Arabidopsis thaliana: one gene and its partners. The protein of the gene in region 1 interacts with the protein of each later gene in a pairwise test. Each region holds a gene or a part of one and is shown in the gene's direction. Other genes may lie near its edges. The genes, in order: AT1G22570, AT5G15240, NHX3 and GAMMA-TIP.

What was found.
Region 2: the proteins of AT1G22570 (region 1) and AT5G15240 interact in a protein complementation assay, tested with the Arabidopsis thaliana proteins (one large-scale study listed by BioGRID).
Region 3: the proteins of AT1G22570 (region 1) and NHX3 interact in a protein complementation assay, tested with the Arabidopsis thaliana proteins (one large-scale study listed by BioGRID).
Region 4: the proteins of AT1G22570 (region 1) and GAMMA-TIP interact in a protein complementation assay, tested with the Arabidopsis thaliana proteins (one large-scale study listed by BioGRID).

What each region holds. Positions count from the first base shown.
Region 1 is NC_003070.9:7,975,869-7,980,453, reverse strand, and holds AT1G22570 (Major facilitator superfamily protein), read left to right. Parts: upstream 1-1,643; 5' UTR 1,644-1,880; coding exon 1,881-2,004; intron 2,005-2,006; exon of another isoform or gene 2,007-2,072; coding exon of another isoform or gene 2,073-2,085; coding exon 2,086-2,303; intron 2,304-2,399; coding exon 2,400-2,959; intron 2,960-3,038; coding exon 3,039-3,834; 3' UTR 3,835-4,030; downstream 4,031-4,585.
Region 2 is NC_003076.8:4,945,686-4,950,951, forward strand, and holds AT5G15240 (Transmembrane amino acid transporter family protein), read left to right. Parts: upstream 1-1,891; 5' UTR 1,892-2,076; coding exon 2,077-2,218; intron 2,219-2,889; exon of another isoform or gene 2,890-3,310; coding exon 3,311-3,921; intron 3,922-4,007; coding exon 4,008-4,526; 3' UTR 4,527-4,725; downstream 4,726-5,266. Other genes in the region: GASA4 (GAST1 protein homolog 4), read left to right, coding at 159-340; FTSH6 (FTSH protease 6), read right to left, coding at 4,726-5,073, 5,147-5,266.
Region 3 is NC_003076.8:22,468,726-22,474,363, reverse strand, and holds NHX3 (Na+/H+ (sodium hydrogen) exchanger 3), read left to right. Parts: upstream 1-1,657; 5' UTR 1,658-1,778; coding exon 1,779-1,943; intron 1,944-2,053; coding exon 2,054-2,172; intron 2,173-2,269; coding exon 2,270-2,367; intron 2,368-2,475; coding exon 2,476-2,535; intron 2,536-2,633; coding exon 2,634-2,680; intron 2,681-2,761; coding exon 2,762-2,956; intron 2,957-3,036; coding exon 3,037-3,083; intron 3,084-3,188; coding exon 3,189-3,255; intron 3,256-3,351; coding exon 3,352-3,452; intron 3,453-3,536; coding exon 3,537-3,638; intron 3,639-3,900; coding exon 3,901-4,045; intron 4,046-4,160; coding exon 4,161-4,223; intron 4,224-4,334; coding exon 4,335-4,418; intron 4,419-4,514; coding exon 4,515-4,811; intron 4,812-4,969; 3' UTR 4,970-5,119; downstream 5,120-5,638. Other genes in the region: SVL1 (SHV3-like 1), read right to left, coding at 1-87; AT5G55460 (Bifunctional inhibitor/lipid-transfer protein/seed storage 2S albumin superfamily protein), read right to left, coding at 5,231-5,244, 5,351-5,638. UniProt on the Arabidopsis thaliana protein: May act in low affinity electroneutral exchange of protons for cations such as Na(+) or K(+) across membranes. May also exchange Li(+) and Cs(+) with a lower affinity.
Region 4 is NC_003071.7:15,443,420-15,447,163, forward strand, and holds GAMMA-TIP (gamma tonoplast intrinsic protein), read left to right. Parts: upstream 1-1,874; 5' UTR 1,875-2,070; coding exon 2,071-2,454; intron 2,455-2,545; coding exon 2,546-2,917; 3' UTR 2,918-3,202; downstream 3,203-3,744. UniProt on the Arabidopsis thaliana protein: Water channel required to facilitate the transport of water, diffusion of amino acids and/or peptides from the vacuolar compartment to the cytoplasm. Does not promote glycerol permeability. May play a role in the control of cell turgor and cell expansion.

The sequences.
Region 1 (4,585 bases):
TTAAAGATATTACATATCTCGATCCTTTCAATATTGTTAGGTCATGATGCCATTTATCGATCTTCCGCATGTCACGCCGTTCAGTCTAGGCGTGAGTACCAATCCTAACTCCTAAGGATACGACATCATAGCAACTTAGCAACCATGTATGATAAAATGGTTCACACAAATTATTTAGGCCCGTATTTCGGCCCCTTTTGATTTCGAAATATTTTGGGCCTATAAAAAAGAGAGAATGTTTGAGACTCGAGAGTAGTAAGAAAGGAGAGAACGCAGGTTTTTTTTTTTAAATGAATGATTTCAGAGAACGCAAGTTATACACGTACTACACGTATAACACGTTCCTCAGCAAGACAACAATATTATCTTATCCTCAAGTGGATGCAAATAATATAAAGATTTTAATATTCATTTACTACATCAACCCCCAAGAACAAAAAATGTCTTCAACAAACAAATCTACAATCAACGAAACAAACGTAATCACCAAATATGAATCAATCAGCAGTATGCTGAAAATTGTTGCCAACATAATTTAAGCATGCGACTTTCAAAAACTCGAAAAATTGTCAACAATTTGAGTAATCCGAATTTTTCTGTTTCTATTACACATGAAAAGACAAAGTAACATTCAAAATCCATCTCATCTGCTTGGCGCGATAACATATCTGATAAGACTTTTTTTTGTGTGTCCAAAGCTGATAAGGTTTCCAACTTTATCAGAATCAATCTATATTTGACTATTCAAAACTGAAATACAGGAGATTATTTCTGCTATGAACAAATATTATTTTGACTATTTGACTGATCTATCACAAACATCTTAGCCAAAAAATAAAATTTAGTGACCACAGCTTGAGAAAAAAGGAAACATTCGTGTAGAATGTATTTTGCTGATTTGTGGAGAGTATAGTCTTGTGCTGTGAACAAATACATTCATATTACCCTGCAACTTGCAAGTAAAAAGAAGTTATGAAGTGACAGCTAATCAGGAGATAAGAATAACTCGATCATAAATACGGAACACCGCAACAAGCGGACCAAAGAGCATGCAAGTAGCCACTAGCCAAGTAGGAGAAAGAAAAATATACAACTACATAATAAATATTCCAAATTAAAAACTTATTGATTTAGTCTCAGCATTTATACAAATGTAAAATGTTTATACAAATGTTGTCTATTTTTTTTATTGTTAACGAATTTTCTAATTTTGAAATAATAGTGATCAATTATGTTGCTTTTGTGACTAAAAAGTAAGTGAATTTACAAATAAAATGATACGTCAAAATTATGGTTAGCTAAGCCTAAGTCTAAGAGCTTGAATGATATATGGATTTTTGGTCGATCCAACCCAAAAACATCTAAATATTCTATCAACATTTATACTCAAATAACAATTGTACATCACTAAGTTACATGTTTTTTATAACTTAATTTTAAGAATAAGTCGTGATCAATCAAATTACCCTTGATGTTGACTTTTGATTGAAAAAAATGACAAAAAGAATTTGCTGATACAAAACAAAACATGGCAAATATCTAGCTCGTACGTGTATCACTTGTCCAAAGGAAGTATGCGTATTATTGCGTAATAATACAATAATATCGGAAAGTTATATAAAATAAAAATACAAATAAGATAATGTAATTGCATACTTATTTTTTAACGCGTATAGTACACTCATCTCAAATGCCAATAAATATACAGATACACATAAAAGAAAGACTAGAAAGTTTAGTTACCCAAAATATCATAAATTAATGTAATCGTGTTCACTAGTTGCGCAAGACAAAGAGATCTTTTAGCTTAAAAATCTCATTTAGGCATTTACCCTTTAAAAAGTTTTCACAGAGATTCTCAACCTCTATTGGTGAGAGAAATGAAGATACCAGAGGAAGAAGTTGCACTCTTAGAAGATTACGTTAGCGATTCCGTCGACCACCGTGGATTTCCCGCCGGAAAATCTTCCACCGGCGGATGGAGATCGGCCTGGTTCATTATAGGTAAAACACATCAGAAACAATCCAATTTTTTTTCTTTTTCTAGTTAAACTTCTAAGTCCCAGTCTTAAATGATTTGTTTAGGTGTGGAAGTTGCAGAGAGGTTTGCTTACTTTGGGATTGCCTGCAATTTGATTACTTACCTCACCGGACCTCTCGGACAATCGACGGCGAAAGCTGCCGTGAACGTGAACACGTGGTCGGGAACTGCCTCTATACTTCCTATTTTAGGAGCTTTCGTAGCTGACGCTTATCTTGGTCGTTACCGTACTATTGTCGTAGCTTCCCTCATCTACATATTGGTTAGTACTTTTGTCTTCTTCTAGTTAAACCGGTTTGATCTTTGTATGATTTAAACCGGGATTTTAGCTGAATTTGGAGGATTATTATTATTACAGGGGCTAGGACTATTGACGTTATCAGCTTCTTTAATCATAATGGGATTATCTAAGCAACGTAACGACGCTTCTGCTAAACCATCTATTTGGGTTAATACACTTTTCTTCTGTTCTCTGTATTTGGTGGCGATCGGACAAGGTGGACACAAACCGTGTGTTCAAGCGTTTGGTGCGGACCAGTTTGATGCTGAAGATCCGAAGGAGGTAATAGCGAGAGGGTCGTTTTTCAATTGGTGGTTCTTGAGTTTATCTGCGGGAATAAGCATATCGATTATTGTGGTCGCTTATGTTCAAGAAAATGTTAATTGGGCGTTTGGGTTTGGGATTCCTTGTTTGTTTATGGTTATGGCTCTTGCTATCTTCTTGCTCGGGAGGAAGATATATAGATACCCAAAGGGACATCATGAGGAGGTTAATAGTAGTAACACTTTTGCAAGAATCGGTAGAGTTTTTGTTATTGCGTTCAAGAATCGGAAACTGAGGTTAGAACATTCTAGTTTGGAATTGGATCAAGGTCTATTGGAGGATGGTCAGTCCGAGAAACGTAAAGATCGGCTCAAGTAAGTTCGAATATTTTGTGTTTTGTTTTAGTCTTTTGGCATAATTTTGAGTGTAAATTTCTTTACCTTGTGTGACAAGTTTCCTAGCAAAAGCAATGATCTCAAGAGAAGGTGTTGAGCCATGTAGTGGTAGGGACGTGGATGACGCGAAGGCTTTGGTAAGGCTTATTCCGATATGGATCACATACGTGGTGAGCACGATTCCGTACGCTCAGTACATAACTTTCTTCACGAAGCAAGGGGTCACGGTGGACAGAAGAATCTTACCGGGAGTAGAAATTCCAGCGGCTTCTTTATTGTCATTCGTTGGTGTATCTATTCTCATCTCAGTGCCCCTATATGAGCGTGTATTTCTCCCGATAGCTAGGAAGATTACCAAAAAGCCTTTTGGGATCACAATGCTCCAAAGGATAGGAGCTGGAATGGTGCTTTCAGTCTTCAATATGATGCTCGCTGCATTAGTAGAATCAAAACGGCTAAAAATCGCTAGGGAACACGGGCTAGTGGACAAGCCGGACGTGACCGTTCCAATGTCCATATGGTGGTTCGTCCCTCAGTATTTGCTACTCGGGATGATCGATCTGTTCTCTATGGTGGGAACACAAGAATTCTTCTACGACCAAGTCCCAACGGAGCTAAGGAGCATTGGTCTCTCGCTTTCTCTGAGTGCGATGGGTCTTTCAAGCTTCTTGAGTGGTTTTCTCATCAGTTTGATTGATTGGGCTACGGGAAAAGACGGCTGGTTCAACTCTAACTTGAACCGAGCCCATGTGGATTACTTTTATTGGTTGCTCGCTGCTTTCACGGCCATTGCTTTCTTTGCGTTCTTGTTCATCTCCAAGATGTATGTGTATCGTCGGCTAGACCAAGTCTAAGAATTCAGAGTACTAGTTTTTTTTTTTTTTTGGTAAGAAGAATTCAGAGTATTACAGTAGAAACTCTATAAATTAATAATGGTGAGACCATGAAATTTTATTAATTTATAGTGATATTAATTTATCCTCTAAATTAATAAATATTAATTTATCGTATAAGTTAATAAATATTAATTTATAGAAATATTTACGTAAAGTACAATACTATATTCTTTTAAAAATATTTTTTAATGTAATTTTCTATATGCTTTGTTGTTTGCATATATAATTATGTTAGGTTTTTATTTTAATTTGACTTTTTTAATTTATTTTCGTCAAGATTTGTATCTGTATATCTACGACATTAACGTGAACGTAAACGTAAACATGAAAGTTAATCCAGTTTCTCTTTACACAAATCATAACAATGCTTTCTCAAATAAAAGATTTTACAAAATCAACTATGACGGATCAAATACGCAAATAGTTATGTGAGTACAACAGAGATCATATCAGTTGTATTTTAAAAAGAGTTAGTTTGAACAAAAATTTCATATAAAAATTAGTCTTAAGATATATACTTAAGATCTATGATTATTAATTTATAATATTATTGGGACTATAATTTTACATAGGGATTTTAAAAAAATTATTATCTTATTATTTTATCGATTTTGATTAATTTTTATATTGGCCCAACTTGGGACCGACAAAATTTATTAATTTATCGTGTTTATTAATTTATCGAGTATTAATTTATAGAGTCTCTACT
Region 2 (5,266 bases), on another chromosome or scaffold:
TAATATGGTCATACAGTCAAAGCAACCCACTATCTTGAGACCCACAAAACAGTAAAAAAAAAAGCTAATGAATTTCCACTAGATTCTGTTGTTTTTATTAGTAATAAAAAATTTTTGAGTGTTAACATTTTGATATTGTTTGTATTTGAAACAACCAGAATGCCCATCGGAATGTGATAGGAGGTGTAAAAAGACACAGTACCACAAGGCTTGCATTACGTTCTGCAACAAATGCTGCAGGAAGTGTCTCTGTGTGCCTCCGGGTTACTATGGGAACAAACAAGTTTGCTCCTGCTACAACAACTGGAAAACTCAAGAGGGTGGACCAAAATGCCCTTGAAAAAATCTCCCTTCGTTCCCTTTTTATAATAAAAATTTTCAACTATAACTAAATTTCCTTTGATCAATGTTTTATCTACTTTATTCCTAATGTTGTAATGTTATGTCACTCCTTTTCGGATTTTGTTCTAAATCCTAAAAAAAATGAGAGTGGCCCTATGAATGATATTTTTCATGAATACTTGTGTTTCTAAAGATATTTTCCCATTCATCCACCAAAAAAAAAGATATTTTCCATTTCGAAAATAGTAATACTATAAAGGGTAAGGCAAACCAAATAATACAATTTAAAAAATTCCTGCGAAAGAAGTATGCATATGTAGAAAAGAGTGACATTGGGTCTCTCGGCCCAGTACTAAAAAGCCCATTATTGATTTTTCCAAGCTTTTTACAAAATCACGTGTTCTAACGCGATTGCTTTTTGCCGCAATCTTCTTTTATACAAGACTTGGGCTTTGGGCAGTTGGAAATAAATAACGACAACGATATTTTACAATCGGTGCAATGATATGAACCACAAACTTATAAACGTTTTACCCGTTCATTACCCTACGTATCAATAAATACTCTTAATAATGCCTTATATATTGACATTAATCGACAAGAAATATGAGGTTTGGAGTACAACTATAGTTATTAGCATTAACAACAAAGCTCAATTTAGCTCTCTTTGTTAGACATCTCACATGCATTTTGAATGGTGATCTTGAAGAAGATACTTTTTTTTTTTATCAACATGTGCATGCTATTTTTTCACAAGCACAACATGGGGAAATGGCCGGCAATGAGTATTCTTCTTTTCTAAAGAACTCATTTTGTAACCTATAAAAGTTTTTGGTTTCGATTTCTGAATGAAAACATATTGGATAACTGTAAAAAATTTGCAGTATGGTTTTAATAGTAACGAAAATATATAGATATATATGTCGATATTTTCATTATTGTTAGAACTACTCGGCACCTTGTAGAACATAACTGTAAACTAGCGTCAAGATATTGATTTACGTCAGATCAAGGCTATTCATACTTATCTACTCTTTAGGTCTGGGGATTCACTTGTCAACTATTTTTAACAAACGACAACAAAAAAATATGTGACGATTTTTCAAGTGCTCCAGTCTCGTCCAACAGATTATTGACATGATATACTACTTTGGACCATGTATTTTTATGAAAATTTGATCCCTCTTCAGTCTTCACCGAAAGAGGATTTGGTACTTGCATTCTCTCTATCACCTAAGTTAAACGCCCTAACATTAAAGTGGAAAACTTCGTGGAGTTTTATTTTCTCTCTTCCTACCAATTTTCTTATACAACTAACATTAAATTCTAGAACCACACAAATCGCAAATTATGGTAGATTTGTGTGTAAGTGGTTATAATTTTTTTCTATATAAAGAGTTGCACTTAAATTTCAATTAGTTTCTAAAAACCCCATCCACGAATATTTAATTGGTCAATAAACATTAAATAGAATTCCACTGCCACGCTAATATCGTGTAGATATCATATGTGCATGGATACTGCATAAAAATCAGCTCTAATAATTGATGTAATTTAAAAACATTGACCCTAGTAAATGTATTAACACTATATATATTGCCTTTTGAGGGTTTCTTTATTGTTTACTTCCAAGTTCCAACTTCTCTCTATCTATTTCCTTCGTCTCTCGATCTCTCCGTCTCTCTCTCTTTGTCTCTTCGATATCCAAAGAGCAGAGTCAAAGACTAAACAAGTATGAGCGAGGACAAAGATTACATGTCGGAGCCATTTATCGTTAAGAAGATTGATGATGAAGAATCATTGCTTGATGATTATAATCCACAGGGCAATACTTCTTTCTCCAAGACTTGTTTCCATGGCATTAACGCCTTATCAGGTTTAATTTCCTCTTCTTCTTCTTTTTTTTTTTTTCTATTTTCATTTTCGTGATTGATTTTTTCTTTTTGATTTATTCACCACTTCTTCTTATCTCCAAACTCCATAACTCACGGGGAAAGATCCAACTCTTAGCATGTCCACATATATGGATAGGATATATCTTAATTTTCAAAATAATCTAGAAAAAACTATAATTAGCTTTATTGTACTTAATTTCTATAGATGCATGTTTTTAACTCAAGCTTTTGACTTTATCTTGTATCATCTAGATTGGTGTGTATTTCAATCCTACATTTTGTTTCTTTACCTCCTAGTCTTGCCTCAGTTTTTTTAGTTATTTAATTTTTCTGTTGATAATTTATCATAACCAAGTTAAAACCAGTTCTACTTAGACTGAATTGTGTTTTTCTTCGTCTAGATTCAGTTTCATAGTCTTTGATAAACAATAGTGCTAAATAACCAAATCATTTTTGTTCTGACTATTAAAGGTTAGGATGGTTCCGTTTAACTGAATTTAACACTATAGTATTAACAATTCGGCAAAGTTTTCAATGACTATTGCTATTATTTATTCGCTAAATGTGGTAATGGCCTAATAATGGGTTTATCAAACTGGCCGCTATCGTTGTACTTAATTGTTTATATACCAAACTAGATACTTAGTTTATACTAAAAAAACTAATTATATACTGGAAACACGTCTGACCAAACTAGACCAAACTAGACCATATACGAACAAAAAACAGTCCATATAATTAAATAGAAAGAAACCAGCAATTCCAATTATCTTTCAGATATAAATACAACGTGTCACTGAACAAAACCTTAACACATTAACAACACGTCTTCCCTTTTCAATTTGTGTTCTTCTTCTTCTACAAGACTACAAACCACTTTGATAAAATCAAATCATATTATCTTATTGGTAACGAGACCACGAATATTTCTTTGCGTTTGTGTTTTCAATTAAAAACTGCGTTTGCGTTTTCATATATACAAAAAGAACGTTTGTAAATAGTTAACACAAAAAACGTTAATTAGCATATGCGTTAGGCTTGGACATTCTTCTGATCAACTCTTTTTTTTTTAGGTGTGGGTATATTATCGGTCCCTTATGCCTTAGCATCCGGAGGATGGCTAAGTTTGATCATACTTTTCACCGTAGCGATCACAACTTTCTACTGTGCCATTCTCATTAAGAGATGTATGGAAATGGATCCACTTCTTAGATCATACCCGGACATTGGCTACAAAGCCTTTGGAAACACAGGACGTGTTATCGTCTCCATCTTCATGAACCTCGAGCTTTACCTAGTTGCAACTAGTTTCTTGATCCTAGAAGGTGACAACCTTAACAAACTCTTCTCAAACGTTGGACTCAACTTCATGGGGCTTGAATTCCAAGGCAAGCAAATGTTCATCATCATGGTGGCTCTCATTATTCTTCCTTCGGTTTGGTTAGACAATATGAGGATTCTTTCTTATGTTTCCGCGAGTGGTGTCTTTGCTTCCGGGGTTATTCTTGCTTCTATCTTTTCGGTTGGAGCTTTTGAAGGCGTAGGGTTCAAGAACAATGACTCAGAGGTCTTTCGACTTAATGGAGTCGCTACTTCGGTGAGCTTATACGCGTTTTGTTATTGCGCTCATCCAGTTTTCCCAACTCTATACACTTCCATGAAGAACAAACGCCAATTCTCAAACGTAAGTTTTTTACATAACGGATCATTAGGTTATTCTTGACCAAAACTCACACTAATAATTTTGCATATTTTTTTTAACATTTTCAGGTTATGATTATATGTTTCACAATATGCACCTTCATATATGCATCAGTGGCGGTATTGGGTTACTTAATGTATGGATCAGATGTTGAATCACAGATCACTTTGAATCTTCCTACTGATAAGCTTAGTTCAAAAGTGGCGATATGGACTACATTGGTCAACCCAATAGCTAAGTTTGCTCTCATGGTTACACCTATTATTGACGCAATGAGAAGCCGGTTTTCTCGAGTTTTGCCTAATAAAAGAGCTTCTGGATTTTTGCTAAGTACAATACTAGTTACTAGCAATGTGATTGTGGCATTGCTTCTTCCGTTTTTTGGTGATCTTATGAGTCTTGTGGGAGCATTCTTGAGCGCATCCGCATCGGTTATATTGCCATGTTTATGTTACTTAAAGATCTCTGGGAAATATCAAAGACTCGGATTCGAAACATTGGTGCTCATCGGAATCACTCTAACCGGTATCGTGGTTGTGATAACCGGAACTTACCAAGCGGTCAAGGACATTTTTGGTCGATTTTGAAATCCCAATAGGTGAAGTTTAGCTTATAGAGTATTTGTTTAGGAAGATATTTGTACTACCAACAGTCCAATACCATAATTTGTTTTATTTGATTTTTTGTGACTTTCGTTAACGAAGTTTTTTTGAGTTATGTAATAATTTGGAATGAGAAAAATGTGAATACGTTAAATGAAGACATGAGTTGATCTAGGTGTCTGTATTAGACACTAATCAAGTCATTGATTCGAATTCTTACATCGCCATCGGTATTTAACGGTTGATCAGTATACTCAGACAGAATTGCTCGAAACTCGTCTCCCGTTAAGGTTTCTTTCTCCAACAAAACATCAACAAGCTTGTCTATAGCTTCTCTATTATTCCTCACGTGCTTTTTCGCAACCTCGTAAGCGTCACCGATTATTTTCTTCACGCAAGAATCAATATCCTCCGCAAGTTTCTCGGACATTGAGTTCCTCGCTAGCATCCGTAGAACCACATCGTTTTGCTTAACCGCTGGGTCGGTTAGTGCCCATGGACCGATTTCCGACATACCAAACATCGTCACCATCTGAACCATAAGAATAATTAGAAAATCCACCGTTTTTTTCCGGTTTATGAAAATTTTGTTTCAATTACTGTACCTGTCTTGCTATCTCAGTGACTTGCTGGAGATCACCGGCAGCGCCGGTGGTTATCTCCGGTTCTCCAAAAATTACATCTTCGGCGGCTCTGCCTCCGAGTCCTCCGACGATTCTAGCGAA
Region 3 (5,638 bases), on another chromosome or scaffold:
CAGCAACTGGATCAAAATAAGAGCTAAAAATAGAAACTTTGAAGCTTGTAAGACATGCATTGTTGGATTATCTCGCATGTTTATCATCTGTAACAACCTGAGTTGTCCCGGCGGCGACTTCACCAACTTCGACCAAAAACTGAGATTTACTCAGAGAGAGAGAGAGAGAGAGAGAGAGAGAGAGCTTTTTGGTTTGTGGGATTCGAATTTATATGATCGTTGATTATTTTAAAAGGGAAAACAAAAGAACTTCGACTTTTTGTTTTTGACACATTTTTCCACTTTAAAAAGAAAACATCAACTAAAATTTTATTTTTTTGGTTTTTCATAAATAAACTAAAATGTTTTTCAATGTGTCTCCATATCTTTATTGCAGACAGAAAATATTGGGAGTGTAATTTTGACTCAATTTTTTTTTGAGAATACAAGAGTTTAATTTTCATGGGATAACTAAATAAGTTTTATTTTAAATTAGAATATAATTTTTTGATTGGTTGTCTCCAACCTAGAGAAACCAAACAATTGTTTTACATATATTTGTGTATTTATTTTTTATAGTTATGCGTTCTTCATTTATTACGACCTACTCTCTCTTTGTTTTTCTTTATTACTACCTACTTGTTTCCAAAACCAGCTAAACTATAAGCAAGCATAATAATAAACTATATAATGCATGCAATTGCAATATACATGTGTCAATCATTGGTCTTGTTATAATTAGGATTAGTGTAGAAACGGCTATTAGATATCAATTATATCCCTGCAATTTCTCCCTTAATCACTCCTATAGTAATTGGTGTATATCTGTTTTCCTCTACGGTACCAACAAATAAAAAGTCTACTGCGGGGAACGTATTTGTTTTTCTTGTTTCCTCTTCTCTTCTCTGTATATAAGAAAAATTGTATCATTCTAGTGATACTACCCATTACCCAATACGCATTCCAATAATGGCTACATTTACATATATGATATATGCATATACATATCACATATGAGCAGATTTATTATTTATCTAATATACACATTATATATCCGAATTCTATGTTTTCACGTTAATTATAATATTTACAAGTTTCTTAATTTATATTATAGCTATAATGATACTAGTATCTTAAAAAATGTTGAGAAGGCGGTGGTGGATGATCGATTAAAAGTCAGGTAGGTCCTAGAACATGGTCGTTAAAGATTACACGTGGTGAAATAGGTCGCTGAGTCACTTTTTACGTCATCAAAACACGACCAAACGAAACGATCACGTTCTAGCGTCTTGGCTGTTGCAACCGGGACCGTTACTCAGTAGAGTGTTTTATTTCGATTGGTTCGAGTCTTCACCAAATAATTCGTTGTAATAAATATTGAGTTTTCAAGTTTCATAATTTTATATAAACAGAATAAAGAACAAGAGGTAAAAATAAATTAAGGAAAAAGAACAACAATTTACGCGAGTTAGTTAGACCCAAAAAAGAAAAAAGAAAAAAATCCCCAAATCCGGTAAGAAAAAAATACATGATGAGTTAGTTTTGGGCCCTAAAAAGGCCCAAGATGCAGTACAATTCCAAAAAGCCTCACGTTTACTCAGTCTGATGACGTTGGAAACATGCCACGTGTCTTTCGTCTCCTCGCCACCTGTAACCACCGCCTTGTTCATCGCAGTTCAAATCTCTCCTCACTCTCTGACTCTTTCCTCGTCTCTCTCTCTATCGTTCTCTGTGTGCCTTCTTCGTTTGCGATTGGTGTTTTCAAAATCGACGAAATCGAAAACATTATCGAGTGAAAAATGAGTATCGGATTAACAGAGTTTGTGACGAATAAACTAGCAGCTGAGCATCCTCAGGTGATACCAATCTCAGTGTTCATCGCCATTCTCTGTCTATGTTTAGTTATCGGCCACTTGCTTGAAGAGAATCGATGGGTTAATGAATCTATTACCGCCATTTTAGTAGTAATTTTCTTCAAAATTTCTTCTTTTTTTTGTTTTAGCTAAAGTTTTGAGCTTTTCTGCTCTTAAAGAACAATTTTATCACTATTTTTGATTGGTTTTGTTGCAAGTAGGGAGCAGCATCAGGAACAGTGATCTTACTTATTAGTAAAGGAAAAAGTTCACATATTTTGGTGTTTGATGAAGAACTCTTCTTCATTTACCTTCTTCCTCCAATAATCTTCAATGCTGGGTAAGCTTACTATGGTTTTGGTTACTATGTTGTGGTTAATGGGTTAGATTACACTATGATGGTGATTGACTGAAGATTTTTTGGTTTGTTGTGGCAGGTTCCAAGTTAAGAAAAAGAAGTTTTTTCACAACTTTTTAACCATCATGTCCTTTGGTGTGATTGGAGTTTTCATCTCCACTGTCATTATCTCGTTTGGTAAAAAATATTTCATTAATCTTTGAATGACTTGACTATATGATTTAAAGTTGATTATCTCGGAGTTGTTACCATCTCTATTTTTGTTGTTTTTATAATGTGAACCAGGGACTTGGTGGCTGTTTCCCAAGTTGGGATTTAAGGGGTTGAGTGCTAGAGACTATCTTGGTAAGATTTTTCACTGATCTATGTTTCTTTTCATTTCTTGTTGAGATGGTTATTACTTATCAGTTTGCGAGAGTGAATGCTTTCTTGTTTTGATTCAGCCATAGGAACGATTTTCTCATCAACTGATACTGTTTGCACTCTACAGGTTCTTGATTTAGAAGATTCTTTGTCTTACTACTTCTTCTATTAAAAGTTTTTTCTTACATTGCATCTTAAACTTTTACAGATTCTCCATCAAGATGAAACACCATTGCTATACAGCTTAGTCTTTGGAGAAGGAGTGGTGAATGATGCAACCTCAGTTGTACTGTTCAACGCCGTGCAAAAGATTCAATTTGAAAGCCTAACCGGTTGGACGGCGCTGCAAGTATTTGGGAACTTTTTGTACCTCTTCTCAACAAGCACACTTCTCGGAATTGGTGTAAGCTATTGAGTTGGCATAGTTTTTTACTCTGTTTGAAGCATATCATGAGTAATCTTAGAACTGTGAATGTCTTGCAGGTGGGGCTAATAACATCTTTTGTTCTTAAAACCTTGTATTTTGGAAGGTAAAAGTACACCAAACTTGCAAATTTTTCATCTCAAGCTTAAGTTTTTTTTTTTTAGTGATAAGATGTGCCTTTATATTGATCTTGTTATATGGTTGCTGACAGACATTCTACTACACGCGAACTCGCCATCATGGTTCTAATGGCTTACCTTTCATATATGTTGGCTGAGGTAATACACTGGTCATGAACGCTACTTTTTAGTTTTCATTTGGAATTGAAGTGCTGCATTTCTCTGTTTTAACTCAATATAGTTGTTCTCTTGCAGCTCTTCTCATTAAGTGGAATTCTTACTGTTTTCTTCTGTGGTGTTTTAATGTCGCATTATGCATCATATAACGTGACAGAGAGCTCAAGAATCACTTCCAGGCAATGTATCAGACAATTGTTTATTCGCTGAAGTCTCAATTTGCAGGAATTGCTTTTGTCTGACTGTGCATCTATATTTTGCAGGCATGTATTTGCAATGTTGTCCTTTATTGCGGAGACATTCATATTTCTGTATGTTGGAACAGATGCTCTTGATTTTACAAAGTGGAAGACAAGCAGCTTAAGGTATAAAGTCGTATCCATTTATCAGCTGGTAGAGCGTTTAGAGTGTTTTGTCAAAACAATACACAGCATTTTGATATGAACCTCGTGTATTTCTTAAATGCATACCTAGAATCAAGATTATCCCAAAGACATCCTCTATGTCTTCTTCTCTCTTGACACGAAGTTAATCGCCAATTAACTGTTAGTTAAGCTGTGGTGGTGACTCGTTGTTTCTGAAATCTCTTCCCAATGAAGACTTGTAACATTAATCATCTTCTTGCAGCTTTGGGGGTACTCTGGGTGTCTCCGGTGTCATAACCGCATTAGTATTGCTTGGACGAGCAGCATTTGTCTTTCCACTCTCGGTCTTAACAAATTTCATGAACAGGCACACTGAAAGAAACGAGTCTATCACATTTAAGCATCAGGTTTAGCTCTTGTTTGTTACAGTTACATTATCAGAAGCACTAAAATAAAAAATTAATAATGGTCCGAGAATGGGAAAGTTTCTGTTATATAATTCTCTCTTTGTATACTTTATAGGTGATCATTTGGTGGGCAGGTCTAATGCGAGGTGCTGTCTCAATTGCTCTGGCTTTCAAGCAGGTTTTTCTCTTTGCACATTCATATTATCTCTAATCTCTATTGTATTACTTTTACATTGAATTAGTAACATTTCCATTATATCTCATTTTGGTATATCTTTCATGTGCCAAGTTCACATACTCCGGTGTTACATTGGATCCTGTGAATGCTGCCATGGTCACCAACACCACTATCGTTGTTCTCTTTACTACACTGGTAAAACAAATACTACCTTAGTATATGGCCCTACTGGTTCTGGTAGTTTTCTGTGTTAAGATCAAAAGAATGACTTCTTTGTCATGTAACAAACAGGTCTTTGGTTTCCTCACAAAACCACTTGTGAATTATCTCCTTCCTCAAGATGCAAGTCACAACACCGGAAATAGAGGTAAACGCACTGAGCCAGGTTCTCCGAAAGAAGATGCGACACTTCCTCTTCTTTCCTTTGACGAGTCTGCTTCCACCAACTTCAATAGAGCTAAAGATAGTATTTCCCTTCTGATGGAACAACCTGTGTACACCATCCACCGCTACTGGAGAAAGTTTGACGACACATACATGAGGCCTATCTTCGGTGGACCTCGTCGAGAAAACCAACCAGAATGCTAGGTATACCCTCCATTATTACCACACAAATTTATACATTTTGCAGCAAACGCACCTCACTTGATCAATAATGTGTAACCGGAATTAATAAGTACATCCGGGAAGAGGTGCCTACAATATTCATCATGATAAGCGAACAATTCTCTCTTTTTGTGTTGCAGAATTGATCCGGGTTCTCCGCGGGGAAATCATGATGAGTTAGTTTTTTTTATAGTCAAGAAAGTAGGATAGTTGGTTTAGCTAAAACAGTTTCTTAAAGTTTTTGTTAAATGTATACAACAAGGTTCTTCTATATACACAAGCTGCGATTATTACTGCGAGTTTGTAATTTATTTGGATCGGAACATAAGACATATTGTAAGACTTCAGATCAGTTGCAGGACAAGTTCGAGTGAAGTCTGCTAGAACGGTCTGTCTCCATCTCAGTTCCTCAAAGCTGCACTTACAGAACAGCAAAACGTAAGCCTTTTTTACTTCATACTTCATATTGGGATCCTACTAGTCTACCGGTTTTTAGTATCTTAATGGTATTTTGATTTTACCTTGGCAAGCAGGAGGGATTGTTGTCAGGCCACATTTGCTCAGAAGAGCCTGGACTTTAGATGGGTAAACCGCTAAAACGGGGAGAACAGACTTGAATCTGCAGATGCATTTCAGATTAGCGGCTTGGAGGAGTTCACAACACTCTTTGATTGGAGATGGCGGGTTGTCTCCAATTACGGCTGGACGACATTTTTCCAGATGGTTTGCGTTGATGTTACATGCGGTAATGCTCGTAGGTTCTTCCATCAACACCAAGGCGGCTAAAACTATTGCAAGAGCTGCAAATT
Region 4 (3,744 bases), on another chromosome or scaffold:
GATTAGTAACGTTCATAAAACTGAACGACTTAATTATGTCCACGTATACGGTTGGTTTCTTTCAACGTTTTTAGATAGTTAATGCTTTGAAATCTTAGTTAGTTATACAAAGGTAAGGTAAACGGTCCAAAAATGATTGTTCTCAATCAAGTTTTAAATAAGAAGGAGAAAAAGTCAACAAGGAAATGCACCAATCAATAAAGTGTCACCAAATATATGAGGAATTCCGATGATTAGCTAGCGTTTTGAAAATACTTCGGCTACTAGCTATGTTTTTGAGAAGTACGTACATGTGGTTGGTAAAAGAATACTGGAACATTGTCACTAGAACGTTCGTGATTGTACGCAGTATTCATGCCAGTTGATGTTGTGCACCATCAATGTTCATTATGTGAACCACCCAAAAAGGCAAAAACAATGGATCATCCACCTAACAATCCACCCCAATCTAGGTAGTTCTAAAATCACACGACTTACATCAAAGGAAAAGTTTCACATGTTTATCAATCACAGGTCACAGTATGTTTGAAAGAGATGATAGAAAAAAGATATCAAATTTGTCCCGTGTTGATAGGAAAGTTGGTTTGGTATCGTATTATAATTTTCTCTACACACACACGACTCATGTTTCATGTGTTAAAAAAAAAAAGCAATCGTTTTAATCCCTTCCAATTTATATAAATCTGCGGGCTCTGTTTTTATATAAAGAAAATTGGATCAGTTGTATGAACTTCGAACTGTGCAAAAAACTTCAAAATGGTTCAACTATTTTGTCAAGGCTTGTAAAATAAATAAAAATTAGCACACTGTTAAAATTTGTAGTATTATATTTAAAAAAAAAAAAGATCAAATTAAACAAAAGAAAAACGAAATTATCACGTCTTTTATTTATTATTATTTTAAATAAATAATATGACATTTTAAATTTTGTTTGGAAATTAATCACTTTCTGGCAGTACCTCTCAGCCGAATTGTAAACCTAAACCGCCCAAAAGGGACAGATTGCATCGTGGTGGTAGGACATTCATAAATTATTATTTTTCCTTAAGTGGAGGGCCGTCACACAATACTTTTTGCCCAATAGATAATTGGCCCACAAAATAAAATGCTAAAATAAATATATAATCTTTCTGTATGATTGTGAAAAAATGTGAGATTGTCTCGAATGTTAAAATTTGGTGCCACAAACAATATAAATATATAATCACAGAAAAATTGGTGCCACAAACAAGATAACATCTTATAATTTTCTCGTATACTTGGAGAGCGAGTTGAAAGAATTGCGATTAGAATAAAGCGTAGTGATTTGGCATTGAATATCATTTATGCTACATAATTCTACTTAGCGATAATATAAAAAAATATCATAACTTATGGTTAGCATGTAATGTCACTATACGAATATCAAATTCATAAAACTAGCCGTGACTTATCTACACAGAATTATTTATGTTTCGAGAATAAAGACCCAAGAGAAAACAACGACATTATAACAAAAAAACAACGACAGATTATAAGTAAGGAAGAAACAAATGACTATAGATTAGATATGAAATATTTTTAGTAACCATCTTTAGTTATAATTTTTGTTTTGGAGCTTGCTCCGTATACTCAGTTGAGTATTTTTACCACACATATATCAAGACTAAATTCTACCACTAATCAAGTAAAAACCTCTTAGCAAAATAGTTGGAGAAAAACAAGAATAAAATCGTATTATTTTCCTCTAGAACTATCGATCATTCGAGAGAGAGAATATGAAAAAGGGACAAAAGCTCTATACATGTACAAACATGACAAGTCATTATCCGCCACGTAGATTGGTCGGTTCCGCTTCGCTGGAATTATAGCGATGTACTTGTTTAGCCTGTTTTCAAAATTATTTAAATCTCTAACCGCTCCAATCAAATAATTTCTCCACCAAATATTAATAATATATCATCCGGTAACCGGTCACCAAAATGGCGCCACCTCAGATATAAGTAAGAGCACATAGTAGACCAGAAAAAATCATCAAATCCATCTCCCACTCTTCTAGCATCTTGAAGCTTAAATCTCAGCCGTCCGATCATGCCGATCAGAAACATCGCCATTGGCCGTCCAGATGAAGCCACCCGTCCCGATGCCTTAAAGGCGGCGTTGGCTGAGTTCATTTCAACTTTGATCTTTGTCGTCGCCGGTTCAGGCTCTGGCATGGCTTTCAACAAGCTCACTGAAAACGGAGCCACCACTCCTTCTGGTCTCGTAGCTGCTGCAGTGGCTCATGCCTTTGGACTCTTCGTCGCTGTCTCAGTTGGTGCCAACATCTCTGGTGGACACGTTAACCCTGCCGTCACTTTCGGTGCTTTCATTGGTGGTAACATCACTCTCCTCCGTGGTATCCTCTACTGGATTGCTCAGCTTCTCGGCTCCGTCGTCGCTTGCCTCATCCTTAAATTCGCCACCGGTGGCTTGGTATGTCAAACTACCCTTTAGCCCTTTATTAGATCTCTTTTTGGACCTAACTTCTTTGTCAAGTAACTAATTAACCTTTTGAAAATTTTAGGCTGTGCCGGCTTTTGGTCTCTCTGCTGGAGTAGGAGTGTTGAACGCTTTCGTTTTCGAGATCGTGATGACATTCGGGCTTGTTTACACCGTCTACGCTACAGCCATTGACCCCAAAAACGGGAGTCTTGGAACAATTGCTCCCATCGCAATCGGTTTCATTGTTGGAGCCAACATCTTAGCTGGAGGAGCTTTCTCTGGAGCCTCCATGAATCCCGCCGTGGCTTTCGGACCAGCGGTGGTGAGCTGGACATGGACCAACCACTGGGTCTACTGGGCCGGACCTCTCGTCGGCGGTGGAATCGCTGGACTCATCTACGAAGTTTTCTTCATCAACACCACACACGAGCAGCTCCCAACCACAGACTACTGAATTAATCTCTCTTTTTCTCTCTTGTGTAATTTTATTCGACTTTGAATTTGAATTTTAATGTCTTTTTAATTTCCGTTTGTGTAATTTCGAATCATCAAGGGGTTTATGATCGTTCGATCTTTTAGATGAATCCTTGTCCGTTGGTTTCAAGAGTGGCCATTGCAATTTCGACTATATAATGTGAATTATGTATCAATCTCATCTTAAGTTTTCAAGTGTTGCAATATCTCTTTTTGCCATTTTGTCAAACTTTTAAATTCCACATCAGTCTTATTACACATTAACTTTATTTATGACCGAATTTATAAGAAATGAGTAAACAAATTATGAGTAATAAAAAAATATGATATATAATTATATATATTTTTTAAAAAAACTAGAATTTGATACAAGTTTCGATCTATTTACGTCTAACAAAATTCACCATATCTTTAACAAAAAAAAAAAAAAAAAAAAAAAAGAAGAAGACAAATTAAATTCACCATATGTATATGTAAAAATTTGAAAGTTGGAATGGTTGGCGTTTTGCAATAAGGGAATAAAATGATATTGTAGGGGTCAGTCAGTGAGGGTTACTAGTCAATCAATACTCAATAGTGAATACGGCTTTTCTTTTTTTTATGTTGCTTTGTATTTGCATTTTGCAAAGGGTGTGAATTTAGAAAAATAAGATCCAATGAGAAAGATTAATCTGTTTTCCTTTTACTTATTTTAAGCAGTAAGATTGTTTTGCAATAGAGATCTCAAGTCTCAACCATACTTGTCAAACAGGTCCGACCAAAATCAAGACATGATTCGATGAGGTGCTAAGTTTGACGTTGCCTAAT